Linked DNA regions of Arabidopsis thaliana. The protein of the gene in region 1 interacts with the protein of each later gene in a pairwise test. Each region holds a gene or a part of one and is shown on either strand. Other genes may lie near its edges.

Region 1 (3,600 bases):
GAAGAAGCCGCATAGATTCCGTCCAGGAACTGTTGCCTTGAGAGAGATCAGGAAGTATCAGAAGAGCACTGAGCTTCTGATCCGTAAGCTTCCTTTCCAGCGTCTGGTTCGTGAGATAGCTCAGGATTTCAAGACGGATCTGAGGTTTCAGAGCAGTGCTGTTGCTGCTTTACAAGAGGCTGCTGAGGCTTACCTTGTTGGTTTGTTTGAAGACACTAATCTTTGCGCCATTCACGCTAAGAGGGTCACCATCATGCCTAAGGATATCCAGCTCGCGAGGAGAATCAGAGGAGAAAGAGCTTGAAGACTGTTGTTATGGTTTATATCTTTTGATTTAGTTCGTCAATGGAACTCTATTTCTGGATTTTGATTTGCGTTTTAGTAGTAATGGGTTCTTGTAAGTGTTGAGCTTTGGCTCGTTTTAATTTTCAGTTGTTAGGTACTTTGGTTTAGTTAGCCTTGAAGTGTTCGATGAAATACCCCAACGAAACTCTCTCCTGTTTAATAGAACTTATTTTCCTTAATTTCTTTGGTTTTGCTGCTCGTTGATCATATAATATTGAAACATTGAAAGTTTCGATTTATTTCAGATACTGTATATAACACACTAGATATTACATTAAGCTTCAATGTAGTTACACCAATTAACTGGTGTTACCAGTTACGGATGGCATTTGGTTTTGTGGAATCGGTTGTTCGTTCCTTACTCTTCTTGATGATGAGAACAAGTTAGCACTGAAGCTGGTATAGAACTGTCTTCCACTTCTAGTAGCATTGTTAATACCATCGCAAAGTGATAAGCTTCCTCCAATTGAAAACGATCTTCTCACGTTTTCTACTCTTCCTGAGCCACAGTAGTTTGCCAAATCACTTTGTGCCCTTGGAAGAAAAATGTTATGGTTTCTTCTAGATCTGGAACTGTCTTGTCTTCCACGGAGGTCATTGCTCGATTCAGAATCTGGTTGATGATTCGTCTCTGTTTCTTGATGAGGTGGTTCAGTGATAAGAAGTACAGGGGCACGACATAAAGGACAGTTCTTGTGAGAGAGCAACCAAGTGTCGATGCAATTTAGATGAAAGGCATGGCTACACTTTGGTAACAGTCTCAGCGACTCGTCTTCTTCAAACTCGTTTAAGCAGACAGAGCATTCTGTGCCGTCGATTATCCCTTCTCCCTTTTTGAATCCAACGACTGTGATCGAGTTGATCGCGGAACGGTGGAGACCGACGGTTGGGATTTGCCAAACGTGATGAAAGTCGGAGAAATCTCTCTCCTCTGTTTCGTCCTCATCTTCCTGTTGGTTTGTGTCACCGGGAGTTACGCTGGCGGCTGAAATCCGCCGTTGTTGCGTGATGTGGAGGTAGAGGAAGAAGACTAGAAATAGAAAGAGTATGATTGAGCCGACGACGCAGATCGAGGTGGGGAGTAGGAGAGAGAGCTCCCTCGGTGGCGGTGGTGGTGGTGGCGGGGGAGGGTATTGCCGGAAACAAAAGCGTAAATCTTTAAACTGTAGACATGAAAGAAGCATTTTTCTGTGATTAAACGCCATTGTAGGAGTTCAGAGACGACATAAACAGAGCAAAAACAGAGGACTTTACTTTCAGACACAACTAGTAGAAAACAGAACAAGAACAGGGGAAAATGGGTATGACACACAATTCCAAGTTTTTGCTTCTGATGAAAGCAAAAAGAAATAGGACACTAAAACCCACAAAATGGGTTAGAATCTAGACAAGAGTCATGACCCAAAAAATCTTCGTGAGGAAATAAGTGGGTACACAGCCACACACATCACAATCTACAAGACTAGGAATTAGAGAGGATTTGTCCTTTTTAAGGGTTGGAAAGTGGGTGGAAATTTCCTGAAAGTGATAACGCCATTAAAGGCGATGTCTCTGTATGTTAGGAAGTAGTTTCCTTTCAACTTAGTAAACTCTCTGTAGACATTTACGCGTAATCAGTCATGTAGCGAGTCAAGTAAGTCTTTCATTTACAACAATCTTAATTTATTTGGCATCCGGTTTAGATTATGATCGGTTTTTTCAGTTGGTTAAAGAAGGTATAACTACCGAACTACACTATCTTCACATATGTACACATTAAGCATACCAGATGTTACAGAATATAGATACATAGGTCCGGTCTAGTCGGGCTGGGCAACGGGGTCCTCTGGGACACCTTACTCGACTAATCCGATTCCACCATGAATTGTCCTTAAATGGGCATAACAAGGTTCTTCTTGAGTGAAGACGTCTAAGCAGGTCCAACAAATGTGCTTTCCACACCGGCACTTCATATGGTTACACCCATCAGTCTTCTCTATCGTCGACTTGCAAATCGGACACTCCTTTACGTTCTTCCCTTTTGCCCAGTCCTTTAGCGACAAGTCCGGATTTTCCTTGAACTTTTTGTACCTTTCACAAGTGATTAACGGGTGATACTCGAGGTGACACCTTGTGCATATTTCTGAGTGACATGCTCCACAGATGAATGGCTCACCAGATTCTTGAGGTCCAGCTACACGGTAGACGGAAGGGCAATCAGGTGTGGAGCAAAACCTGAACTTTCCATCACTGGATGTTACAAAAGAGGACAAGGATGCGCTGAAGAGTTCATCGAGCTTCTCTTGTGATAAGAGGGCTCTCATATCAGCGAGTACTATTGGAGCTCCACAGTCTATGTGAGAACAAAGTATTGGGAATGCGTCAAAGTTTCTCATCGATGCCTCAAATTGCTCCAACAAACAAGCTTTGCAGAAGAGGTGTGAACATCCTTCAAGAGAGTAGCCATCATCAACTTCAGACAAGCAAATGGGGCATTCAACTTCAATCTCATCTGGTTTTTCACCCAGTGCACTCTTTTCTCGTGCAAGTTCATTGACCATCTTTTGTACTTCCTGCCTCATTTCTTTGCTCCCATGAACCTGAATAACATGGTACCGGGTGTTGAGCTTGAGATCCACACCATGCACCTTTTCTTTGATACCTTGGAGCTCCGGACCAAACCGCTTCACAACTTCCTTCATGAGGTCAGGACGGATCTCAGGACCTCGGAGGTGGATTTCAAGTTGCTTGCTCTCATGATAATCCATAAGTGCCTGAATCAGTTCTTGTTCTGCCTTGGCAATTTTCTCACTTGTTCCACAAATGCGTACTGTGAGATTGTGCCTATCTAATAGAATGTAAGTTTCTGTCTCCTGCTGGATCTTCCGCATCAGATTAATACCATCTCTGGACATAAGATGCTGCAGGACTCTACGTGTGAAGCCTGGATGGTTTATGGGTCTTCCTCTTAAGAGTTCTTCAAGTTCTCTCCGCATCTCCGCAACGGGTCTTGTTGCATAAGCAGTAATTTTAACACGATAAGCCCCGTTATGAGTTGGTTCCAGACAGCATTCACCCCCTACAAAAATATAAACAAACGTTAATGCACATCAAAATTTGGACAAGTTCACAGGAAAAATAGGACACCTAAGCTTATGCATCCTTCAAATATCCCTTACCCTACACGATTGTTCTTAATCAATATCGGAGTCAGAAGTAGACATTCAGTAAGGTTATTTGTTGACAGAAAATTAAAGAGCAAAAGATCAAATGTTG
Region 2 (5,589 bases), on another chromosome or scaffold:
AAGAGAGACCCAATAATCCTTGGAGTTAAGGTCCACGACGGTATACTTAAGGTATCCTATTCTTACTCTGCTATATTCTCGGTAACTTGCTCACATGTCCAAGGATTCTCAATCCTTTTAACATTCGTCTTGTTTGTTTTAGATCGGAACCCCCATTTGCGTCCCGGGCAGAGAGTTCACAGATATTGGCCGCATTGCCTCTATTGAGAACAACCACAAGCCTGTTGACTATGCAGAGAAGGGCGACGAGGTGGCGATTAAGGTAATAAGGGGATCATTCCCTTCAACAACCTTTGTATAGAGAAAGAGAGAGAGAGACAAAAGTTGTTGAGGTTTCAACTTGATGCTTTTCTCTGGTTGTATAACAGATTGTTGCTTCAAATCGCGAAGAACAGAAGATGTTTGGAAGGCATTTTGACATGGAAGATGAGCTTGTGAGTCACATTTCGAGGAGATCTATCGACATACTCAAAGCTGACTACATGGTAAGTCAAGGATAAGATAAGTTGTTTCCCATCTACGTTTTCTTTGACTCATTATTCTGACCCAAAACAAATGCTCGAAATTAAAACCAATAACAATTGCAGAAAGAAATGTCGACAGAGAAATGGAAGCTCCTATTGAAACTGAAGAGAATCTTCAAGATTCCCTGAACAGTCAAATGTCTACTCTAGAGCTTAAAACACTCGCGGGCCTTGTTGTTACGTCGTGTCTGCTGCATAACGAAGGGATTTATCTTCCTGATTCGTTTTTTTAATAACTATATTAGGCTGAAATTTGTAACCCTGTTAATTAATTTAGCCAATATCAAGAAAACTCTTAATAGGTAATACTGAAATTATATAATCTTATTGAAATTCTAAATTCTCATATAAAGCATGTTATTTCGTTAAAGAGAGTTTGTTACAGACTCTGACTTATATAGAGGCCTCTTGAACCCGGTCTACACACTAAACCTTAATTAGGGTTAACTCAACCGAGCTACAATCATCATATACAGTATATTATTAGTATATATCTTCAAATAATAACCGGGAAGAAAATGTGATGCAAAATTTAAATAATGATGACTAAAGTAGCAAGATGAATTGGTGCACACAAAAAGAAAAGTAGCTAGATGATAAAAAAAAAAAGTTATAGCTAAGCCCAGGCTGTGATTTGCTCTACTATTTTCAAATTATACAAAACTGAAAGCAATACAAAATGGAAAGTAAATGAAGTGGAGACTAGTTTTTTTTTGTTCTTGTTTTTTTCCCAATTTAATCATTTTTATTTACTCACTAAATAAGTAATTAAAAATTAAGGAGAGATGGGTTGGTTATATTATTATATAATATCAACAAATATAAGAATATAATGTAGTTTTTATTACTTAAATTATCGAAATTTGTATAATCTTATTAAAAGTTAAATTATTAAAATTAAGGAGAGATGGGTTGGTTATATTATTATATAAAAATTTGTATAATTTTTGAGGAGCAACCATAGTCCAAGACCCCACCAAGGCTAAAATCACTCCGACGGCGATGGCAATAACTCTTTTTTTATCTACTCCTATAGCCATCGTTAGAGCCATCTCCCTTTACTTCATCTAGCCAAATAACTTATTTTGTGTTTTATGATCATATTTTAAAAAGTTGCATGTACCCATTACAATATAAACACCCAAAAAGTGATACTTCTTATAACTCAATAAATGTATCTAACAAAATTAGAACCTCTTTTTTGATATATTTTTTTCAAAAATATTAATTTAGAATCGTGATACAAGATTTAACACAAAATGTAATCAATGAAACGACATATAGTGTGGTCTCATAGATGTTAGTTACATGATATCTACTTTAATTAAGGTCACGATATTATTAACATGATAATTTTTCTTTTCTTTTTAATTAATTTAGCTTTGTCTATTGTTTTTTCCTAATTTTAAAAAGAAAAAGAAAAGTTGGTTGCATTCTTTTCCTAACGCCGTCTATTGTTCTTCGTCCTCGCTCGTCGTCGCGTTCTCTCTCTCAAACTCTCAGGTAAGCTTCTTCAGTTTCCCACTTTCCCTCTTACACCAATATCCAATTTTGTGTGTTTGCAAATAAATATGTGTTAAGTAATGTGGTTTCGTTTCTAGCTGCAAGTTTCTTCCTTTCCAAAGGTTTGTGTCGATCTTAAAATCCCAGAGTTTGATAAACCTAATTCTCTCCTTCCGTTTTTAATTTTGTAGAAACTTGACCTATACTAGGCCCTGAGTCTGATTGCGAGAATCGCTGACAAAAAAATGCAATTTTCTTGTGATCCTGTAAGTGAAATTGGGTGAGATTTCGATTTGGTTTGTTTTGTTTGTGCGAATTTCGCCAATGATGTTTTTGTGTGAAGGATCAAGAAGGAGATGAGCTGCCACAATATGAACACATTTATCAAAATGACTTCTCTTATCGAAAGTAAGATCCTTTCTTTGATTGCTGGCTCGTGGCTTTCGGTTATCTTCTCAGTATGCGTTGTTGTTAAGTACACATTTGTTTAACGCTTCTATAGGCACAAGAAACAAAAGGAAGAAGATATATCTATCTGCGAATGCAAGTTTGATTTCGGAGACCCTGACAGTGCTTGTGGTGAGAGATGCCTCAATGTCATTACCAACACTGAATGTACTCCTGGTTACTGCCCCTGTGGTGTCTATTGCAAGAATCAGGTTAACAACTTGAAATCTTTGCTTCCACGTTTTCATGTAATTCTAGAATCTAAGATTTGCGTTAAAGCTTGGTGATGTTCTTACAAGTTCCTATTCAAACTAATGATAATTGAGTTAAATGAATGTTAATTAGTAGTTTTACATGCTTTGCCGGTTACAGAAGTTCCAAAAATGTGAATACGCCAAAACAAAGTTGATCAAGTGTGAAGGTCGTGGTTGGGGACTAGTGGCTCTTGAAGAGATAAAGGTGAGGACTCAAAATTTATTCTTGTGTCTTTATCATGTCTGATACTCTTTACCAAGATTTATGACAATTTCCGTCACACTTCGTTGATCTAATGCAAATGGGCAAATAACATGGCTGGTGTATTCTTTTTCTTAAGTAAATAGTCAATTGGGTTTGATTAAATGACTGGTTGTATTTGATGCTATGATTTAGGCGGGGCAATTTATAATGGAGTACTGTGGTGAAGTAATATCATGGAAAGAAGCAAAGAAGAGGGCTCAAACTTATGAAACTCATGGTGAGTAGAAACTTTACAGAGATGATGAGAGTGTTGTAATGCTATAGGTGATGTTAGGTGATGTGTTAATTATGTGTTACATGAGCAGGTGTCAAGGATGCATACATTATATCTCTCAATGCATCTGAGGCTATTGATGCCACTAAGAAGGGAAGCCTTGCTAGGTTTATAAATCATTCATGGTAAAACGAACAACTGGCTTTTTACATGCTTCAAAGAAATTCATATCTATAAAACGTTCCTTATCGTTTCTTTCTCTATTTTCCTGCAGTAGACCAAATTGTGAGACGAGGAAGTGGAATGTACTGGGAGAAGTTAGGGTTGGGATCTTTGCAAAAGAGAGCATCTCTCCCCGGACCGAATTGGCTTACGACTATAATTTTGAATGGTACGGTGGTGCCAAAGTGCGTTGTCTCTGTGGTGCGGTTGCATGCTCTGGATTTCTTGGAGCCAAGTCTCGTGGCTTTCAGGCAAGTCCTTACGTTATCATCCTCATAGTATTATTTGTCAAAAATTGGGAGGAATGAAATTAATCATACTGGTCTATACCTAACCTTATACCTTTCTATCATTTCAGGAGGATACATATGTATGGGAGGATGGTGACGATCGGTAATTTTCTTTTCACTTATTTTATGCGGCATAAAAATGGTCATGGATCTTGCGAGAAAGGAATGTTTTTCATCTTGGACTGGCGATATTTTAGCCCCTCTCTTTTCTTTGTCTCCAGGTATTCAGTTGATAAAATTCCAGTCTATGATTCTGCAGAGGACGAGCTTACATCTGAGCCTTCTAAGAATGGCGAGTCCAACACAAATGAAGAGAAAGAGAAAGATATCTCAACAGAGAACCATTTGGAGTCTACTGCTCTGAATATTCAACAGCAATCAGATTCAACTCCAACTCCTATGGAGGAAGATGTCGTCACGGAGACTGTTAAAACCGAAACATCTGAAGACATGAAGCTGCTCTCACAAAATTCACAAGAAGATTCATCGCCAAAGACTGCAATTGTATCACGGGTTCACGGTAACATTTCCAAGATCAAGTCCGAATCTCTTCCGAAGAAAAGAGGCAGGCCGTTTTCAGGCGGAAAAACAAAGAATGTCGCTCAGAAGCATGTTGACATAGCGAATGTGGTTCAGCTACTAGCAACCAAAGAAGCTCAAGATGAAGTTCTCAAATACGAGGTAAAACAGTTTTTCAAGCGTATAGGTACAAATTCAAAACCTTCTCAGTATCAGATGTGTTTGGTAAATTGTTGCTTGCAGGAGGTGAAGAAGGAAGCAGCAGTACGACTCTCGTCATTGTACGACGAGATAAGGCCGGCGATTGAGGAGCATGAAAGAGATAGCCAAGACAGTGTAGCAACAAGTGTGGCGGAGAAATGGATACAAGCAAGCTGTAATAAACTCAAGGCAGAGTTTGATCTTTACTCTAGTGTAATAAAGAACATCGCTTCCACTCCCATCAAACCACAAGACACAAAGACCAAAGTCGCGGAAGCAGGAAACGAAGACCATATTAAACTCTTGGAAGCCAAATGAGAATTAGCTCGGAAGGACACCTCTAATGGACAAAAAAATATCTTAAGAACTGGAAGCTAACTTGGTTTACTTTTCACGTTTGAAAATGTAATAAATATTTTTAAAATGAGAACATTTTGTTGAAATTTAAAATTTTAGTAATCAAATTTTTATTAATCAATTCTACCAAAAAAATAAAAATTAGTAATCAAAATAATTTAATAAAGACATTTTGAATGATAAAAAAAACTTTTTTAGTTAAAATTTTATATTTATGTAAAACATATTGATCGTAGAACATCGCTTAAGGATTTTATACTATGGGGGGATGTTGTGTCCAATTATTTTACACATATTGAATTTAACACTTAAAAACAAAAATATTATGTATATTTTAAAAATTAAAATATTTTGTGTAAAATATTACTTAAAACATATTGAACGTAGAACACCGTATAAGGACTTCATACTATGGACGGGATGTTGTGTCCAATTATTTTACACATATTAAACTTTAACACTTAAAAACAAAATATTATGTATATCTAAAAAGTTAAAATATTTTGTCTAAAATATTACTTTAAAAATAAAAATAAAAACCTTATATTTTAAATAGTTATAAAAATAATATAAATGTTAAAATTTAATATGTGCAAAACATATTGAACCTAGGACACCACTAAAGGACCTCATACTATGGACGGGATGTTGTGTCCAATTATTTTACACATATTAAACTTTAACAATTAAAACCAAAATATTATGTATATTAAAAAAAAAAATATTTGTCTAAAATATTACTTAAAAAATAAAAATAAAAACCTTATATTTTAAATAGTTATAAAAATAATAT

What was found.
Region 2: the proteins of RING1 (region 1) and ASHH1 interact in a two-hybrid assay, tested with the Arabidopsis thaliana proteins (one large-scale study listed by BioGRID).

What each region holds. Positions count from the first base shown.
Region 1 is NC_003076.8:3,265,769-3,269,368, reverse strand, and holds RING1 (RING/U-box superfamily protein), read right to left. Parts: upstream 1,735-3,600; 5' UTR 1,551-1,734; coding exon 645-1,550; 3' UTR 556-644; downstream 1-555. Other genes in the region: AT5G10390 (Histone superfamily protein), read left to right, coding at 1-304; AT5G10370 (helicase domain-containing protein / IBR domain-containing protein / zinc finger protein-like protein), read right to left, coding at 2,181-3,403.
Region 2 is NC_003070.9:28,789,055-28,794,643, reverse strand, and holds ASHH1 (SET domain group 26), read left to right. Parts: upstream 1-1,924; 5' UTR 1,925-2,027; exon of another isoform or gene 2,028-2,218; 5' UTR 2,219-2,272; coding exon 2,273-2,293; intron 2,294-2,370; coding exon 2,371-2,435; intron 2,436-2,529; coding exon 2,530-2,686; intron 2,687-2,846; coding exon 2,847-2,933; intron 2,934-3,125; coding exon 3,126-3,210; intron 3,211-3,298; coding exon 3,299-3,392; intron 3,393-3,481; coding exon 3,482-3,680; intron 3,681-3,787; coding exon 3,788-3,822; intron 3,823-3,940; coding exon 3,941-4,757; 3' UTR 4,758-4,924; downstream 4,925-5,589. Other genes in the region: AT1G76720 (eukaryotic translation initiation factor 2 (eIF-2) family protein), read left to right, coding at 1-51, 143-262, 369-500. UniProt on the Arabidopsis thaliana protein: Histone methyltransferase involved in regulation of flowering time. Required for the expression of the SOC1/AGL20 gene. Required for histone H3 trimethylation on 'Lys-4' (H3K4me3) at the SOC1 locus.